2 linked regions of the Daphnia pulex genome follow. The protein of the gene in region 2 purifies or fractionates together with the protein of the main gene of each other region. This does not show direct contact. Links are inferred from orthologs where the notes say so. Each region holds a gene or a part of one and is shown on either strand. Other genes may lie near its edges.

Region 1 (10,565 bases), on a different chromosome or scaffold from region 2:
TATACGGACTTTTATAGACATTGATGTAGGAGTGAGCGCGGTCTTAAGCTCTGACAAGATTGAACGATCCTGCTGGGGTGAGAGTAAGCCCGTTTTGGACGTTTAAGGCCCTTAGATGAAGACCTTTTCCCTGGTTGTCCTTGTATTGAATCCGAGCCGACAGCGCGGTCTAAAGAGGCTCAAGGGAAAGACCAAAAAGACAAGAAACTTGATTGTAAAAAAGGAACAGCAGCCAAAGAGCATGCGCGGGAGCTATGCACGATTTCTTTTCTTTCTATCCCTTCTCCGTTTCGCCCTTTTTCTTTCTTTCATGTCAACATGCTTGTAGGGATGCTGATGAAGATGCGTCGTTGTGTTCTAAAATGGCTCCCCCCCACCGGTTCCTGTTTGGTCCATCAAGTAAATAAACTAAAAGGCGTCGGTTTAAGGCATTCGAGCAGACTTCCCTTTTAGTTCCAGTCGGTCATTTTCCCAGTTCTCTTTTCTAAACGGTTTTCTTCTTTTTTCTTTCAATTCGCAATTTATCACACTTTCTTTGTTTGTGACGCGTCTGTGTTATTTGATTCGACAACCCTTTCGTCCCAATCGGATATACTATACATTTCTGTTGGATTTCTTCTTCAAGTTTGACATTGATTTCATTGAAATCAATAGTCATGGGTGGTAGTGATTGTTTGAACAAACTTTTCGAGTCGAAGCCGGCCTATTCCAGCGTGATAATGCCAGGTGAAAATCACAAGACCCATAGGGGACACGAGAGAAACACCAGTCTCATCCGCGTCTTCACCGTCGTTGCATACATTTGCAGTGTTTCCATAGCAGCTGCTGTTCTCTCGTTGTACTATTTCTTTATCTGGGATCCGACAACTAATAATCAAAACAGCACTCTAGTGACTTACACTAGCAACTCTACTACTTCTCACCTTTTGGGCCATTCCAAGAGCAGTAGTCCTCTTTTACGGCCACTTCTTGGCAACTGCAGTCTCAGCACCGACGACGGTATGTTTAGCAAATCAATCGACTCACAAGACATGTTGATTTCCTTGTTTGTTTCTTCCTTTCCCCCAATCCAGTAGCTCACGGCAATCTAACGTCTCCGATGGAAGGCAAACCATCTGCTCTCTTCTAAAAAAGGATGTACACAAATCGTCGTCGTCGTAAAGCTCTTTAAATACAAGAAGATTGAACAACACTTTTACACATTCTGGTCGAGTGTTTTCCTTGTTTAAAAAAAAAAAGACAAACAATGTGAAAATGGGGAATTTGTATTTTTTCTTTTTTTCTTGGTGTTGTCTTGGAGACACACAAACTCATTTTTGACACGTAAGAAAAACTAAAAATAAACAAAGAGGAAATGAAGCATCATTATCTTTTATATATTTAGCGAGTAGCTTCCATTAGAGAATTGACGTGCTCGTAGACGGCCTTCAGCAGAAACTGGAACACGTCATTGCCGGCCAATTCGGATAACTGCGGCTCACGCAGGATTTCTTCTGGGTTGGGCAGTAAATCGGCCAGATCTTCGCCTGCGCAAATAACACATCGTCAATGAAGGAGCCAACTGACTAATAGCCTCGAAATATTTTAGTAATTGTACCAGTGCCAAGAGAAAACTCAATAATCTTAAAAAAGATCGTTCCGCTGATTGACTGCAGCACATTGTCCGTGTCAAACTGTGTCCACGCATCTCGTAGAATGGCCCGCGCCCAGATTCCAAGTCGACGAGATTCTCTTTCTTCTTGATTCTCGAGGAAATTCAACAAATCCAGCGCCTTTTTAAAGTCCAGTTCGTTGGCTAAAACATTCTCGTCGCAAATGTACATCTAGAATGTAAAGAAATAAAGGTTGAAAATCATTTTTTGAAAAAGAATTTCTTTGATTGATGATGGCAAACCTCCATCAATTCGGAGGCGGTGAACACACGCATAGTGTTAGGGTCGATGTCGTAAGCTTGTAAAACCACGACTGGAAGTTGCTCCTGATGCGTGAGTAATGCGAGTTCAGCCTCTACGTTCTCGAGTTCTGCTTGAACGACTTCCGGATCAGGGCCCAACTTTTCTTCAGTGACAAGATGTAATTTCGCTAGGCTCAGCAGCGTTCTCTTCCGACTTGACAGGAAAGAAGAGGAATAGTTTTGAAACTTGCAATCCTGGGCAATCACATTGAAGTACATTATTTCTAAGATGTGTTACCTATAGAGATCTTTCTCTACACATGCCAAATTGGTCAAAGTGTGAGCTGCGTCCAAATAGTTTTCGCTTTCTGACTGATCCACCCACAGAATGTCAGGATGGCCCTCGAGAAAAGTGCTGACTTCAGATCGACGGAGTCGTAGCAACTTCTCGCGTTGATTGCGTTGCATGTACCTTATTACGGAGTCAATTAAATGAAGGTTTAAAGGTAATTAATTAGACAACCACGTACCATTTGCAGGCGAATTCAGTAAACCCAGATTCACCGAGTTTGTCTATGTAAACGTTCAACTTGTTTTCGTTCATGGTTTCATCGCAGACGGTGAGTAAGGCTCCAAAGTCCACGTATTTTTCGGCCAGCAGGGCTACCCGCTCAAATTCACGTCCTCTGAGGAATAGCTCTAAGATGGCGCTTCGCTCCGATTGGACCTCCTGCTTCACCTGGGCGAAAGATGGGCTGTGCTCATCGCAACTCTCCAGGTACATTTTAAGAGCGTCGAGTAAGATGTCGGTTAGATTAGCGGCCTGACTCCAGAGATTGCTTCGGAGACCTGCGTCATCCGCATTGGCCACTCCTTCCTCGACTAAGAGATGTAGCAGCCGAATAATGGAAGACCGAACGCTTCTGGGTCCAGGTGACTGCAAAGAGAAACGTGTCAAGACTTTTCTAATACGAGCGGATTATAAGAGATAATTACGGCGATCCAGGGCAGGGTTTCGAAACTGTTTTCGCATTGCTCCAGCAGCTCAATGTTGCGAGCCCTGTAGTCGCGGGCAGCATTGGTCATGGCAATTATGAAATTCGTAGCGTTGCTGATTGGTTTAACTTTATCGGATGGAGAGCCACTCATGTTGGCCACAGTTTCGCAGACGACATCCACAAAGCAAGGAAAAAAATCTCCTAGCGCAGTAATGTGTCGGTAGAAGAGATCCTGCTGCGTCAATTTGTCATTTGTCAGTTCGACTGCTCTTTCTTGAAGGACCCGTCGGATGGAAGCATCAATAAGTGTTGAACCAGGCGTATGAAGGGCTCGTAGGGCCAAGGATGCACGCAATTTCTCGGCATGTTCCATCAAAACAAATGCACTAGATTTAGCACCGCGACGGTCACCAATGGCTGTCAAGTCGCCCCAAATTGACATGTTCCTGAATAATTTTTGAAAACGTGAACAGAATGTTAATGAATAAAGACTAGTATATAGTGTGACGTACCGAAGGAAAGTAAGGAACAGGTCGTGAGCCTTGACTTTATCTTCCAACTGATGCAGGACTAATAAGGAGACGGTGGTGAACGTTGACTCGTGGCCAGCTGGAACTGAATCTGTCCAACGAGGATCTGTGGCTGGATAGTCGTCGATGATTTGTTGACTGAAATCAACCACCATTCTATCCATGAGCGAATCTATTTGGCCTTTACTGGTTGGAGAGGCAAATAATTCTTCTAGAAGCGACTGTGTTTCATAAATATTTTTGCGACAGAAATTGATGAAAGCCAATCTCAATTTTGATGAGGTAGATTCATTCTGCAAGTAAAATGAAATGCTGTAATTCACCTTGAAAAACACTGATAAACTTTTCAACATACCTGGGCGGGATCAAGGTTTTCGGCCATAATCTGGGAATGTTCCATAATGGATTCATCAATAAAAGATTGGCTGTCATTCGGTCCACCGATTGAAGGTTGTAAAATCAAAACACCGTGACGGGTAGAGAAGAAAACGGGTCGCTGATTAAAGACTCCTGCACCTAGGAAACGTTCATTGGCAGCCTTGACTTCAAGCTTGTCGGGTTCTTCTAGTGGCTCGTTGGACGGTACACACAGGATCCATTTATCAGAGTACAAGTAGGCCGTCGATCCCACGAGAACAAAGCGACACTGGGGAGGGGACGATTCCTGTAAAGATGAATCTGATCGCTCAGCCATGGCTGTGGCATACTTGAGGACACAAAAGGAGGAAAAACCAGTAGGTGGCGAGCTACTTTGCATTGGCAGAGCGGCCAAGGCGTATTGGATTTGGGAACTCAGGTTGGGATTGGAGGCGGCGATCAGCAAGATTAAGTCGTTTTTGTAAACTTGGGCATCAAGAATCCAGACTCTCAATTTGTGGATGCTGTTGCGGTCACTTCGGCTCCAGACGTGCGCAATAAGAGACTCCCTAGCCCATTTGTCAATATCACACTGATATAATAGCCGCTCTGTTTCACCAACCTAGACACAAAACAAGTTTAGTGGGTTATCTTGCAGATTTTTATGTAGATTTACCTGCCAATACTGCAAAGTTTGACTGCAAAGGATTTGAACTTCCAAAGTGTGACTATCTTTTTTCTGGCTCAATAGTTTGACTAGCCGTGTCTCCATCGACTGATGTGTTGAAATGGGTCCAAATATCAACGACGACATTCTACGGCTAATGGAACCTAATAGTCCCTGCGGTGTCTTGAAATTCCGGCACTGTATGTTGGGACTGCCATCAGTCAGGCGAGGTGTCAACAGCAGGACACTGGCAGTTGTTGTGGCTACCAAACAGCCCAGAGGCATAGCTTCACTCAGAGTATCACATTCTTGACCCTGTTAATTTCAATACTGCAATTACTTGTTGTTCGATAAGAATTTTAATCTGAAATTTTACCTGAAGATCAGCATTGATTTCAACAAAAAAGTTTTCGTGAGCAATGGAATCCCAGTAACGGACAGTTCCTTCTGGTGACACAGCAATGCACGATGGGACACTGTCAGCTTCTGAGCAGAAAACCGCCACAAGATCTGATTTGTGTGCTAGATCACTTGGAGGTAAGGTCAACTCATGAGACTTTGGGGAAGAAACAGCAATTGATTTCCTTGAAGGTGTTGATACTGTGTTGGCACCAGCCGCCTTGGAGTACTTCCATATGACAAGTTGCCGTCCACACACAAACCAGGCCCAGCCATCTTTAGACAGTGTAACACTGCATTCCGCTTTCCCTGAAAGCGAACATGAAATTTAATTTGGTCGAGTAGGGTCACATATTTATCAACTTACTTTCTGCCGAGGAAATGAGTTCAATTACAGCTACGGGTAAAGCTGTCCCATAATTTTCTAAGGCATAATTTGACGATTCAGCCAAATTACGAGATGATGCATTCAACGAACGTGAACTGACATTCAATGAACTGAAAGAAAGAAAATGGGATCTTAGCATGTTTGATCAACTTAACACAACTTGTTTAACACATACTTTCTCCGCCCGGCTTTCAGCAAATTTTTTCTATCCATTTGTTCGGTATTTATTCAGTTCCTTCACTTTTTAGAGACTTGAGATATTTTGAAAAAATTGTCGTCTGGCACGTTTAAAAATAAAATCTGACGGTGCTAATGGCGGCGCAATGTTGCCGTGCCTCATACAACTCAATTTCTTTTACTTTTCTTCTCTTATTTTTTTAATGATGTGTTTTGCATACATGAATTTGGATTTTAAAATCATATTAAATACTAAAGTATCATTTCAGATTAAATTTAGCACAATAATTCAAGAAAACTGATTGGTGAAATTGGTGAAAATGTTTTTCATTTGACACAGCGATGCATGTAAATTGAACATTAAAGTTAAACCTACTTTAATTGATTCATGTGTTACTTGATTGAATTGCGTAATTGATCTGATAAAGTAAACGAGGATCTATTTAACGGGCGGATGGATACATCAAGGAAGTCGATTACTAGTGGCGCCTCTGGTGAGCAGAATGGTCGAGCACGAGCCGAATCGTCCGATCCGAGTCAGTTGCAGTCGAGAGTCGAGTCACGACCGTCCCACCTACCCCGGCCAACGTGAACCGGTGCGGGACAAAAACAACAGGAAAGAACGAGAACGAAAGTGGTGGTGGGGGCAAACCAAGTCTTGGAAATTACTTTCAAGCCATTTTTATCTTTTGGTTTCTCAAATTCCCAAAAAGTTGAACGCAAATCTCGCCACGCTCGATGCAACAACCATCTTTTCACAACGGGCCTTGTTGGAAAACTTGAAGAGGATTACCTTTTTTTCTATTACCTCGTGGTTTTTAGTGTGTTGTGAGTGAGTTTTTAAATCATCTACAACCGTCTAGATACAATCAACGTCATCGGTGAGTGAACGATTATATTTTATCTCCATCTTCTTCCACGTTTTTTCCCCACCCATTTGAAATGAAAAGATTAGTGAGATAGGACTAACTTATTAAGAGTTGGATACAATTGCGGTCGAGCCAGGAGCTAGGGCATGCTATATATTCCCAAACGGGACGATAGCACAAACATCACGAAACCAGTGTTGTTGGGCTGTATACGTGCGTGTGTGTGATGTGTACAGTTCTAGATTTATCCGCCTTTCCTTTTAGATATATTGACGAATTCCGGATTATATAGGCTACAACGTGACGAATAATTAAAATATTTCTCGATCGTTGTGTATGTATATTAAAACGGGATGTAGCTCAAACAACGTGCTGGGGGGAAATGAAACAAAACTTTTTTGATATCCCTCCCCGGAAGTTTCAGATAGATTTTCCTTCCGGTACCTGCGAGTGTGTGTGTACATGTGTTATTCTCTAGCACACAAGAATAAGAAGTGAAAGAGGTGATAATATTAGTTTCCCCTCCAAGTGCTTATTTTCCTTTCAAATTGAAGAAACAAAAACAACTAAAAATTTTCTTGTTTTTTAAAAGCTTTTTTTTTCCCTTTTAAAATGGACGTGCTCACTATGATTACCGCACAGCTGCATTCCTCCACTCACGACACGAACGTTTTTTTTCTCTTTTTTAGAGGGTGATGTTTATCGAAATAGACTGGAGAGGGGGGGGGGGAAATCAGGGAGGAGTTATTTCCAAAAGTAGAAGGAGGGAAGAAAAAATATTCATCAAATCGATAAGGATCGTTTTTTCGTGTGTGTGTGTATATTGAAATCCATTTCCGATACACATTTCCATAACTCTCTACGTGACCTAAATACTCCCCGAACGAAACCTTTTTTCTTCTTTTTAGGATTGAAATATCAAACAAACGGGGGGGAATAGTTTTTGTTGGGGGGGTTATTAGATTCCGTTCTCGTCTTTCACCTCGTTATATCCTCCCGACACAATCCAATTTTACTTCGTGTTTTTTCCTTTTCCTTTGAAAATGGAAAGGGAAAAAAGATCAATGTGAGAATGTTATGTTTTAGGGGGAGAGGTGTGAATGTTGTTCCAGATGCCAGGAGATGACGTCACCTGCGGGGGTGTTAAAACACACACACACACGGGGTTTACAAAAAATATAAAATCCTTTTTTCAAAGTTTTTGAACGGGGGAAAAAATATATAGACCGCGCTGTGTACACTTTTTTGTACGGGAACATTTTTTGAATGTTTACCTTTTTTGTGTGTGTTGTTCCTATCAGCTGGTGGCGTTGAAGGGCTCCGTGTTTACACAAAGTTGTTCCACCCATTGACGGCGATCAATACTTTTAGATGTGACCCCTTTAAAAATTTTTAAAAAAGAAGTTGTTATCTAGTCACGATTGGATATATTGGAATTGAAGGCGAGATACGATCGTTGATTCAAGGACATTTCCAACAAAATCATATTTCATTGAAATTTTTCTATCGAAAATGTGAACGATCTTCTAATCGTGAAAAAGTTGAAAGTTCACCCGAAAGAGAGAAAAAATCTCACCCTTAACTCCCGAGCTCTACAGTCAGGGCCGGTCGTCATTTGTTTTTCGTGATTTGTTTGTTATTCATCAATGGTATATATATATAAGAGGATGGGCTTTTTGATATCTGCGGTCAAAGCTCACAGACGGTTATCGTGTCTAGGTAATCAAATATGCGTATTTAATGTTATGTTTAAAAAAAAAATCCGTAAAGTTAGTTTGAATCGAGTTTCTGAAATGGGATAAAAGGGGGCGTTTCAATTGTGAATTTGAAAAAAAAAAGAGTCAAATCCTTTGAATTCAATCGGACGATGATTGCAGTTACTCGCACTGTTGCACCTTGTAGAGTCTCTCTCACAGTCCGACAGCCGTGGAAAGATTTTAATTAGAAAATTGGATCCTTGATTGTTAGTAGTACGTCTCTCTCTTGGAGCTGTACAATGTGTGTACTCCGCAATGTGATGCGGAAGAATTTAATGAGAGTGGACTTTTCTCTCTCTCTCGAAAATCCATTTCAAAGTGGATATATAAATCCCATCAAAAAAAGGAAGAAAAACCCGTTTTTTTTCCTATTATACATTTTTAAATGACCTTCTTTTTATTTTGATAAGAAGAAGGAAAAAAACCCTGAAGGGCGATAAAAGAGAGAGAGAGGGAGGTCTTATTGATTTATTGATGAATGCCCAAGCACACACACACATACGAGTATATTTTTCTTTTTCATTTTCTCCCCTTTTTTCTTTACTCGTAAAATATTTGTTGGGAGAATGGTTGATATCAACTTCATCACGGTTCCAAAACTGACATGAAGAAAAAGAAAAAAAACTACACTGCAGGGGGTTTACGACTTGGGCGTCTTTTAATGGTAAAAATCTTGTGGGGGGGGGGGAAGCTATATAATAAATATATAAGGTTTTTTTTTTTTTGCTACAATCATCCAGTGTGTTTTTTTGTTCTCTTAAGATGGAGTTGAATCGAGTATGTGCAGTAATCTTTATTATTATTATTTTTGTGTGTCTGTTGTTTTGAATTTACGAGGACTTTTGGGTGGGAGTATTTTTTTAAAAGAAAGAAACAAAAGGGAAAACCAGCCGCCGTCCAAGATTAGCATCAAAGACTCGTAAATCTATCGTGAAATCTAATCACACAATTATTCTCGTGAGCCATGAGCCGTGACTAGGGTGGAGAAATAAATTGAACGAACCCACCACCCGGGGGGCTTTGATTCTTTTTAATATCAAAAAAAGTTTTTTTTTTAGTTTTATTTTTTTCGGCAGACATTTAAGTGATTAGCACCGCTCCAACAGATCGATATTATGACAACTCATTTCAAGTTGGATGTCTTCCAATCAAGGAGAACTGGGTGGAAATATCGAACCAACAACTTGCCGAATAAAAAATAAAAGAACTTTGACGAGAAAATGGATGTATAGCCTCCTATTTTCCCGATTCTTCTTTTTTTGGCGTGCATTCTCCTTTTGTTTAACTTTGCGTGTCGCGGCAATCACGAACCGAGTGTTGTTGTTGTTTCTTTTTTTATTATTATTCGAGTTGAAAAAAGAAGTTGTCCTCACGACCGGGGACCAGCATTTAAATGAATCGATAAATAATAACCAAAAAACTACAAATGTAACAAGCCGATTTTTGCTTGAATCCAGTCGCTTTTTGATGTATGACCAAATTGTCTTTCTTGTTCTTTTTTTAAAAATAAAACAAAATTATAGAGGCTCGTTAACAGAACAATACCAGTTGATAATTGCGACATTTTTTGCGGGACAACAATTTTTTTTCTTATCGATGGCAAAAAATCAAAACGTGACGTCACGTTTGTTGGCGTCTTTCTTTATTGGCATTGGCTGTGTGAGAGTTGGTCAGTGTTGTTATGTCACGTTGTTTTTTTCCAAGGAGGGGGGGGGGAATAAACAAACAAAAATTCGTCAATGTTATTTGACGAAAATGGCGGCCAAGAAAGGTCATTCGACAAACATTTAAATCCAAGGGTGTGGTTACCGCGTTTGGGTTATCGAGTAACCTCGACTAATTCGTAGAATTTCGTGTCATTGAGAAATTTTTTTTTTTACTAAATAAAAATTCGTGAACAACAACAAAAAATCACGTTGTTGGAAATTGGGAAGGCGTTCATCATTTCCGGGTGGTCGCTGATTGAGCGGAATTGAGCACCAATCCGGGGTGGGATTTTTTTATTTTCTTCTTCTTTTGGGCGGGTGTTGCCGGGACGCCCGACGCCTTGGGCGTCTATGCAATCACGCTCCCCATTCATCTCTATCCTCTTTTCAGCCCCTACACACACACATAATCATTTGTGGTGAGCCTAGAGGAGGAGAAGGAGGGGGGATATTTTGTAAAAGGAAATTGTCGTTTGAGTTGGGAGTAAGTTTATTTATTATGAGATTGGTATATAAGCGTCTCGGGAAAGGAACGAACGATTGAACGGCATTTTTCGTTTGAAAAAAGAAAAACAATTTTGGAATCTCGGCTATGACGTCATTTGAAACGACGTTCTGCATTCTAGCCCCTTCCCCCCTTCAGTTTTTTGAATAATTGAAGGGCAACTTTGAAGTTGGATGATTTAAAAGGGGGGGTCGGAGGGCAGTTCTTGTACACGCCCCGTTTCGTTTTTTTTTTTCCCCGCTGCAATTCAATTTAATTGGAGCCTTTTACCTGGAGGGAAAAAAGAAAACACGCCGGGAAATGCTTGGCTATTTACAT
Region 2 (10,049 bases):
AATTTCTTTTTTGATGGTTAGGTCGCGTCCACCGAGTTCGACTTCACCCATTTCTTCCAGAAGGAGTCGGCAACACAAGTCCGCTTACGGGACTTCGAGGTCGGAATCGCTGGAACGAGCTGGAGCTTCCGCCGGTCATTTAACGCAAAGTGAAGACGATATGGCTAGAAATCGTCCTCCAACCAAGCCAAAGTAAGTTTAATAAAACGAAAACTAAATTCACTTATTTGATTCATTTATTGATCCAATCATTCTAGACCTAGCGTATCACAGCCAACTTCCACTCACTCGACAACGATGAAGAAACCAGCAAGTAGTGGAGCTCTCTCAGGTAAACAAGGAACAATTCAGCAGCGTTGGTTGTTCGCCCCCACTCATTCCATTTTGATTCACAGGTGAAGGAAGCTCAGCCCCAACAGAATGCACTGTTGTGACGTTCACTTTTGGAGATGAGCCCGTGCCCTACCGCAGCCGGATACCTGGACGAACTGTCACGCTCAAGCAATTCAAAGAAATTTGTGTGCCCAAAAAAGGAAACTACAAGTAAGGAAGACTCTTAATTATTTTTCACAAAGCTTTGTACTCTAATCATCTTTTGTTAATTAGGTACTACTTTAAGACGAATTGCGAGGACGACGTAGCGATGGCAGTCAATCAGGAGGTTATTGACGACTCTGAGATTCTACCACTCTGGGAAGACAAAGTGCTGGGTATCGTCAAGCTTGTCGATTAGAATTGATGATGTTATGGAAAAGATATTGTCTTGAAAACTTTACAAAAAAAAACTCTTTAAAATGAACCTGAGTTTATGTTGCAGCTTAACATTACCCTCCTTCAAAATCTTCAGCCCTGTCTTTTATTTTGTATGATGTCAGTTCTATTTTTGTCATTGTCGTTTTTCATCGATTCACGCGTTGTTTTTTCTCTTAACTCCTGTCTTTTGATAGAAATCGAGTTTCTTTTATTTCTTTTCTCTTTTATTTTGAGAAGCGTGCAACAATCGTGTCGTAGTAATTTACCCTTTTTCCAGCATGAATGAATATTTGTTTAATTGTCGCGCTGAGACTTCTTTCTTCCCTCCTGCATTTCCTTTTTATACTTTGTCTGGGCCAAAAAAAAAACTAATTTAAGAAAAAAAAATGTTGGAAGATTTGCCTTAGCCAGAATATTTTTTTTTTAACTTCGCAATCGTCTGATTTGTACACATCCATCGAGTATTCTCTGAAAGATAAGGAATGACATGTGTTCAACTCCGATTCCTCGTCTACCACTATCTCCATCCCGCCCAAATAAAACCGCCACTTCATCTGAAGCATTACTAATACGCAAACGTTTCATTACAATTTTATGAAATTGTTTTGTATAACTGTGGACATTCATTTCGACATCCAACTTGGTTTCATTATAAGTCGGGGTTTTTTATGTTTTTTGTGAAGCTATACTTGGCAGTTAAGAATTTCAAGCCAAACGACTTTTCAAATTTTCATTTGAAACGAAAGTAATCATAATTATTCACATTTTCACTTGCCATTTTTAAAGATAAATCTCATTTTGGGCGGGAATTTAAGCAAGAACTAAGTAGAAACCAATGCGATGCTAGCGACATCTAACTACAATCGAAGTGCTTGATTTGTCTATTTTCTTTTATGGGAAAAAGAAATAGTCAGATCACATGCGTTAGCAAAATATCCAAAGGACTGTTTGTCATTTTTATTTCATTAAAAAATCACGATAGCATATCAATAGTCTGCCAATGGCCGTAATAGACTAAGACTGTGACATCTCGGAGTCACTTGTATTCTATAGCTGTCGCTGTGTTAGAACTTATAAAATTAATTAATATATAAGTATTTACCATACTAGACCATCACGGAATTTCCGGCAAAATTACTACCAATATGACTAATTTAATGTTGGCATGTGGAAACGAACCAACGACGAAAGGACCGAGACGGACCTGATGTTGTTGCTACGCCGTTTCATTAGATTCTCCGATTCTCCCTGATGAACGCAGCAGCACACACACACACAAAGGAGGCAGTGAGGCACTATAGGGACGATACTATAGGGACGATTATTGGTCGGGAAAGAAAATGTCGTTAAAAAAACATGATATTATTATTTTTAAAAAATTCCTCTTTGTGAACTTTGTTTCGACATGCAAATCGTATTGATTAGCACATCACTGCATACGTACAAGTCTAGTTATACACGAATATCACGTGTTCCTATTGCTATGCTTCCATCACTACAGTTCTTCTTTACTTTGTATTTATATTTAACGTTCGATTTAGAGAGTAATTAACTTCTTCCCAGATTGTTGCGCTGAATGGTTCGACGAGTAACTATTCTGGTATGGCTAGCTCAGCCGCCCGTGGTGGTAGCCACGTCGTCTGCCGCCCCAGAACAGTCACTAGAAGCCCTAAGACGTGCTGCAAGTTTTGGGATAGTTAATTTACCTTAGTTGACTCCAAAATCAATGTGTAGTTATAGGTTGCGCCTGATGTAAATTTCAATGGTGTTTAGGGAATTAGTCGAACTAAGCTTGCACCTTTGATATAGGTTATGATAACATTCTAATGCCCTGTTCTTATTCATCAAGATGCGATAAAATATGCTCACTTTTCAATAAAATGATCATTCATTAATAAGGCGCAAATTCAGTCTATATTAATACAAAATCCGTTGTCAATTTTTTCTTGTCTTGACGCAGAAGATACACAGGAGAGAGAAAGGAAGGAGGATGAGCATTTCCCCAGCAGACGGCAAGCCGACCCGAGTGTAGTCCTAAAACTTTCAGTTTAATAGTTTATTTTATCAGAGTTCTCCGATAACTGGCTTAAAAGAAGAAGAAGAATCTAATCAGTAGAGGGAATAGGGAACGCGGGCCAGTTCAGCCAAAAAGCCTCGTACATCACACACGAGATTAATTTCTAGACGGCCAGTAAAGTTGCATATATAGTCAATTGCGTCATTAAAAGGAAAAAAAAAAAACAAATCGAATTTTATATTTTTTCGAAGCCAAACGGAACAATGGGCACGTCTGCATTTTAACTATAGAAAAATCATCAAAGATGATATTAATGAACCCAGTTGATTTTTCTTTTTTCCTTTCGCTCTCTTGTGTGTAATTTCAATCAAGCGCAAAACTCACAACTTTGGTTGGTGTTGTAATATATGGCCACTATAACTCTGCACTCTGTGAACTTGTAGATTTTTTTTTACCCCCCTTCCGCCAGCACTTTGGATTGGTATAAAATGTTGCGCAAGAATAAAATTTTCTTTTTTCTTGGATTTTTCCGGTACGTGAAATAATTTAGGCGACCCCACATCAGAGTGCGTCATTTATATCTTTTCGAGACGCCTTATTTATATTTTGTACTTGGGCAGCAGCTTTTATTTCTTCTTTGAGAAAATGGTGATGTCGGAAAAGAGATTATAATGATGATGAAGCTCCGGATGAGCTTACCGCGCCCGAAATCCATTGGCACTTTCCATTTGATTAATGGCGCAGCGGCATCGGCGGCCCACACACACACGCGCGACTATTTGCTTCATATATCGCGCATCACGTGTGTCCATTAAGGAAAGAAAAAAGATGAATCGAAATATATTTCCCTCGTGTCACGCAAACAGAAATTCAATCGATCTGCGGGATTATCTAATGATTCGGTTAAATGGTAAATTATACTGGGTTATATATTTTCGTTTATTTATAAGGAAGTGTTTTCATTGAAAACACTCGACAAAAATTACATCTTGCATCTGTAACAGACGCAAGACATCTCGTGATAGGAGTTCGAGATTCGATAGATCTCCGCACCAATAATTATAATTATTTAGGGTAATTATAATTATCACACAGATAACTTGTAATTTGTATTTTATGCAACACGGCTCTATAAGTACGGATTTCTTTATAAACTTAGCTAACACCTGAAGCATCACTGAAGTGCGATTTACATAAAAACTACTCGATTTTTTAAATGTTAAGAAATAGTTTATGACGCGCAATTATTTCTTACATAAAGTTCATTTATGAATATCTGCTTTAGTTTACTCGTGTTGTAGTTGTAACACGACGATAAGGCAAATTGCGTAGGTGAGGTTTCCTCGATTATGGGTAAAAACCCTTGCGGATATTGTCTATTATGAGACACAAATGGCGGAACATTTGTGGGGGAGGGGGTGATTCTTTCTTTTTGTCTGTAATCTGTAAAACAGAAATAATATGTTTGATAAATTCCCATATTCGGAAAATTGTGTTCTGCCATTAGTCAAGTTGCTATTAAAAATCTTAGCATGACAGACACATTCTTCTTTTTTGTCCGATATACTCACTGGTAGCGAGGTAATTTAATAACCTATAGCTGTGCGTTAAGAAAAACCATGGAATAACTGACTAATTTTCAGATTGATAAATTTTACTTTTATTGCTTTTATCGCTTTTATCGGCTTTTATAAAACCAGAGTTGATAATTTGATAAAGCGGTTGCAAAAAAAGGCTACTGGCAACAAAGCGACATGAGGGATTGAAATTCGGCAACGTAACTTGGCAGACGTAATTTGTTTTTACAAACCACGAAGCACGAACCACAATCAGAAAACCGATTTGAATTTGTAAAAAGATTTTTAAGTAAAAAAGCCATCATAAAAAAAGAAATGGGCTCTCTTTCCAGACCGTTTCATTCAGTTGGCTTGGGAGATGAAGAGATTTTCTGTCTTTCATTTTCACCATACGAGTGGTCCAAAAATTTCCTAGCAATCGGAACGGAAAATAAGGTGGTCGTTGCCAACGTTCAAAATGAAAACGTAAGCACATTTTGTATTGTCAAAACCTGTCATTACCTACTTGATACATCGTTATGTATCTATTGTTTTACTAATTGCTTTTGTTATCGTCAGGATGAGATTCAGTTCAATGTGATTCGTGAATTTCATCATTTTTGCCCAGTTGTTTCCTTGAGTTGGAGTGCACTCTCATCCAGTGATACAGTTCCTAAAGTCTGCAAATTTGCCACAGCAGGCATTGATGGGAAAATTCGGATTTATACAAGTGATCTTGCTCAATCAGAAAATGTTTTGGTAACAGGTTTAGCATACTTTGAAAGTCTTTTAAAAATAAAAATCAACATTATCTTTATAGGAATTGAGTGGACATGCTGACAATGTCAATTCAATAGCATTTCAACCAGACATCAATGAAAAATTCTTGATCTCTACTTCTGATGATTTTACTTGTAAAATTTGGTCTACAGAGACTGGAGATCTTTTAAAAACAATTCCTCTTCAATCTTCAGGTGATTTATAAATGAGATGTAAAAATGACAAAAATAACACTGTAGGATTAAAATTGGAAACCTTATGTAGGAATGGCCGTTAGATTCAATCCTTCGGAGCCCAGTAAATTCTTAGTGATGGAAAAGTCTGGCGTTACAAGAATCTTCAGTACTTTAAATTTTTCTCCAGTAACTTCTTTGAGCAACAACTTTAGCTGTCAAGACCCGGCTCTTGATGCTGATTGGTCGTCCTGCAATCCCACTCATATTGCGACATCATTAGGAGGTCGAATTCAAAATTGGGATTTAGAGGCATTAAGGTATACTATTATTCTTTACAAATGACATTACTTGAAAGCTGTCGACCATGGCAGATTGTTATTTGATTTCTTGGTTTAAAAAAAAAGGCTTCCAGAAGACACTACAACAGTTTCTTGTGAAATGGTCCGAAAAGTACGCTTTCATTCTACCATCGATACATTGATTGCCGTTCTTGGATCACCAGGCCCTGTTGTGACCGTACTCCGTTCATTAGGACCAGTAATGATAACGGATTCGTTAATGGTAAACTTAGCGTAGCAAATTTTTTTTTAACGTTGAATTTTCATAATAATATGTACTCCATTTAAATTTAGGCTGCCAGCGATCTAAGTTGGCATTATTCTTTACCCCTTCTTGCTGTAGCAAACGATCGATCTGTACGATTTTGGAAATTGCTACTAAAATAATCCCTTATTGTAAATTAATTTTGATTTCTGAATGCTGATCAAATAAAATTCTGAGCTCAACCAAACTTTAACTAACAATTCTCTTGGTAAACATATTTTGTTAAAACTTTTATTGAAAATTCCACTTATTAAGTTATGGTAATTCTTTTCTGTTGTTATATAACATAGGTCCTTAGTAATGACATGCCAATTAACAAACCTAAACAACTTTGACAAAAACATTTATACTTTCTCATATTAAATGATCAAATCCAATATAAGCCCTACTTCTTAAATTTAATATCCTGGAGAAATCATTTGTCACTATGGAATTTTTAAGCATATACATGCATTGAATTCAAAGATTTTTTAAATGATTCCATTAAAATTATATATATTATTAAGTTTTAACAGGAAATTTAACATAAATTTTGTTTGAAGAAACAATATGTTAGCAGGTTATAGCTTGCTGGTAAAGTGGTAACCTAAGTTCCTAATCTAGGCCCTTAATTGCCATAATTACCAGAACGCCAATACGTCTGTTTTTATTGGTCAGCAAATGCTGTTTGGATAAGTTTTCATTTTCTATTAAACTTGAGATCTAATTAAAAGAAAAAGTCAGGAGTCAAAACAATGTTTGTTTTCAAACCCATATCGCAGACTGCCGTTTAGCATGACCTTCGTTTACAAAGGGTTTTCTAAAAAGCGTAACGCAGAGTTCAAAAATGTGGAATGTCGATGATGCGAACCGGCGAGTCGCGAGCAAAAACGCGAGCAATGAAAAATAAGTAGAATAACAAACGAAATGAATGATGAAATTCAACACTAACCAAATGTAGGCAAATATCTAAATCCGATTAAAGTCAATGCACACAATATCAGTCCCAATAAATTCAGTAACTTCCATCTGCTGTACAGTAGGCTGTAGGCTTTTACAATTTAAGTTTTTATAAATATAAATATGCAAATATTTAAGCAACGATAAATGTTTTCAGTATCTTATGCTTTTACTAATATACGTTTTCAGGTTGTCACAATTTGACTCACAATTTAACTGTTTCCTTTCGACTTTTCGAGAGGGGAAAACTTCAAAAGCAGTTCCGCATCACCATTTTGCATTTCCGTATTTGCGTTCCACGAGTCTCTTTTGCGTTTTAGGAAGTCCTTTTTACAAATGGCGAACGTGGATGAGTGTTGAATGTTTGGGGACGTGTTTTGGATTTTTAGTGTTGTCATTTATCATGTACCTCTAAGGTACTTATTTATAATTGTATATTTTAATTTGATTTGATTCACGAGTCATCGTAGAATCATTTAGTAGTAAAAAGTAAATTTTTACTAATTATAAATTTTTTAAATTTTATTGTGCTGTCAGAAACGGTTCGTCTGAAAGCCGTCTTGGTTTGATTTCAAACAACCAACACAAACCATGAATCCGGCAAAGCAGAAAAACTGGAAACTCCTTACAGATCCACTTATAATAAAAGGAGCAGTGAAGCTCTTCCGATATGAAGGGCAAGTTCAAGGAGATCCCACCTACCCTGTAGTTCATGTTCGTGATCCACGTTCACAAATACAAAGGCTTATTTGGTCCAGGCCTGAAGTTCTTGATCTTCCTGTGCCAAGATTCAGGGTACCAATTTCATAAAATTTCTAATTTTGTGTATGTGTAATGTTTACTGATTCATTTTCAATTAACAGATAGATGCAGAGTATATAGGAGACCCACCTTCAGTTGAAGTAACAATATGCAATGTCAATGATAACATTGATAAAGTTTTTCTTGGAGATCTGGTATGTCTTAATATAGTGTTTTAATAGCTGTGCATATTTAAAATATCTTTTGTCGTCTGTAGGTGAAAAAACATGGTCCATTTGAGGAACTTACGATATTTTACCATCCTAAAAACAATAAACATTTAGGTTTGGCTAGAGTTGTATTTGAAAATGTAAAAAATGCTAAATCTTGTGTAGAAAAACTCAATCAAACCTCAGTTATGGGAAGACCTTTGCAAGTGTTTCTTGATCCATTTGGTAATTCACCAGCACTAGTGTCATTTTTTTCTATTGGCTGACAAATATTTCAATTACATTTTTAGGTGCGGAGTGCAAAAAACAGTATGAATCGTTAACTGCAGAGAAAAAGCCTGAAGTTAAACCCGAAATAAAAAAAACTGAACCCAAACCTAACGAGGAGCTCAAAGAAACAGTTATTCCGATTCCTCCGCCAGTGGTGCAAAGGGAGAACAGCAACAGTCAGCAGCAAAACACCAACAATCTTGAAACAGAGGAGCACTATTTTAATTCCAACGGCCATGTCGGCGTCGGTGTCGATGGGCCATTCAGTTTTCCACCACCAGCCTTTTCTGTTCCACCACCTTCTACTGATTTCTATGGAGGATGGCATCAACAGTTTTGGAACACGCCTGCTCCCTCTTGGGTGACACAACCGCCTCCCGAGGCAGCCCTTGTCAACAGTAATCACGAAGAAGAGAAGAAGGATGAAGAACCACTTGTTTTGGATTTGGATTCCCGAATTGAGCTACTCTTGAAGGGGAAGATTTCAGCCGCATTGAACACACCTGCTTTTCTGCAACTTCAGTTAGATGGAAGCAGTAATTCAGGTTCTTCGCGAAGTAGCAGTCGAGCAGCTGATCACGATAAAAATGTTGATCCGTGCGCCAGTCCACCTCTTTCGCCACCTCCTTCTCCCTTCCTCTCTCAAGAAATCTATTTGGAGCATTACAAAGCTGCACACCCAGAGCCCCCACAAGGTATGTGCTCTTAAAGTTTACCGTTATCTACGTAAACATTTTTCTAATGGATTTTTTCCCCTCAGCCATCCGATTGAGTGGAGAGATACTTAATGACGAAATGAGCTTATCCAGTTTAAGCTCTGGAGATGAAAAAATTTTCAACTCTGATGGAACAAAAATTGAAATCGACGACCAAAACGCAGCAGCTCCGTCATTCTCATCTCAATTCTTTCCACCACCTCCCAACTACTCGGCTAATGATCCTTACTTCGCATGGCGGGGTATGTATGGGAATGCATACGCTCAGCCCTCCGCTTTCGCCTCGGGAACAAATAATCCTGCTTACCCCAATTTCAATTATCCCCCGCCAAATGGGTATCCTCCTTACGCCGATGCATCTCAACCGTCTTCAGCCCCTCCTACGCAAAGCTCTGCTTTACCCGAACAAAGCACCGAGGATCCTCATGCTGCAACTATCGAGTAAGTGTTTTTAGCTTTCAAATTGTTAAGAGACTCCCTTTCTACAAATATTTGTTTTTAACAGGGGAGTCGTGGATCGAATAGTGGCGGAATTGAAACAAATTTTGAAAAAAGATTTCAATCGACGAATGGTTGAGGGAACGGCATTTAAAGGTAAACTTCAGTTTGACAATATTTTACAATCGTTTAACCTGACTCTTGTTCGTGTTCAATAGCATTTGAAAATTGGTGGGATGAGCAAAGTAAACAGGAAGCCAAGGGACCTGCAACGAAATCTATTTCTCTGGGCTCATCAGCATCAGTGCTTCCGCAACCCGTCCAGCCATTAACGCAAACTAGCGAACAACAACCACAGGCCGCCGCCGCTAAGAAAGTGGGTTTCGGGTTTGAAGGTCTCAACTTAGGTTTTGGATTAGGTTTAGGACTCAGGGCTTCCATGCCTAAGCTTCCTTCATTCAGGGTATGTAAACAACATAAATGGTATTTGTCGCTTAGACGCTACAATTAACAAATTAATTTCCACAGAGGAAAATCAGACCACCTTCACCACCACCTATGGATGATGATTCTCGAAGGAGATTGCACGATTCCGACGATGAATCTAGAGACGTAAATTGAACTTTGTTAACCTTATTTATTTGCTGTCCTTTTAATTTCGTTTGAATTGCTTACAGAACCGGAACGATAGACGATACGGTCAAAGAGGTCGTGGTTCTTTGCGCTCCTTGTATAGTAGTAGTAGCAGCAGTAGTAGTAGCAGCGAAGATGAAGTAAGTTGAACAATTTTTTGCGTAGTTGATCACAGTTAATTTTAAACTTATAAATAT

The links.
Region 1: the proteins of nucleoporin Nup37-like (region 2) and nuclear pore complex protein Nup133-like purify together in Homo sapiens (affinity purification with mass spectrometry; 4 studies listed by BioGRID and IntAct, with this or other methods). This does not show direct contact. The link is inferred for Daphnia pulex from reciprocal best matches to the Homo sapiens genes NUP37 and NUP133.

Annotation. Positions count from the first base shown.
Region 1 is NC_060023.1:10,061,022-10,071,586, reverse strand, and holds nuclear pore complex protein Nup133-like, read right to left. Parts: upstream 5,851-10,565; 5' UTR 5,447-5,850; coding exon 5,409-5,446; intron 5,344-5,408; coding exon 5,213-5,343; intron 5,155-5,212; coding exon 4,823-5,154; intron 4,762-4,822; coding exon 4,456-4,761; intron 4,402-4,455; coding exon 3,778-4,401; intron 3,716-3,777; coding exon 3,405-3,715; intron 3,339-3,404; coding exon 2,891-3,338; intron 2,832-2,890; coding exon 2,425-2,831; intron 2,367-2,424; coding exon 2,193-2,366; intron 2,109-2,192; coding exon 1,895-2,108; intron 1,824-1,894; coding exon 1,598-1,823; intron 1,527-1,597; coding exon 1,381-1,526; 3' UTR 1,250-1,380; downstream 1-1,249. Other genes in the region: uncharacterized protein LOC124198669, read left to right, coding at 657-999, 1,074-1,129. UniProt on the Homo sapiens protein: Involved in poly(A)+ RNA transport. Involved in nephrogenesis.
Region 2 is NC_060025.1:2,845,967-2,856,015, forward strand, and holds nucleoporin Nup37-like, read left to right. Parts: upstream 1-4,456; 5' UTR 4,457-4,662; coding exon 4,663-4,812; intron 4,813-4,905; coding exon 4,906-5,085; intron 5,086-5,146; coding exon 5,147-5,300; intron 5,301-5,370; coding exon 5,371-5,599; intron 5,600-5,686; coding exon 5,687-5,843; intron 5,844-5,914; coding exon 5,915-6,007; 3' UTR 6,008-6,072; downstream 6,073-10,049. Other genes in the region: axin-like, read left to right, coding at 22-192, 258-331, 396-543, 607-733; histone-lysine N-methyltransferase SETD1-like, read left to right, coding at 7,416-7,619, 7,688-7,780, 7,843-8,020, 8,086-8,760, 8,826-9,222, 9,287-9,375, 9,438-9,682, 9,748-9,831 and 1 more. UniProt on the Homo sapiens protein: Component of the Nup107-160 subcomplex of the nuclear pore complex (NPC). The Nup107-160 subcomplex is required for the assembly of a functional NPC.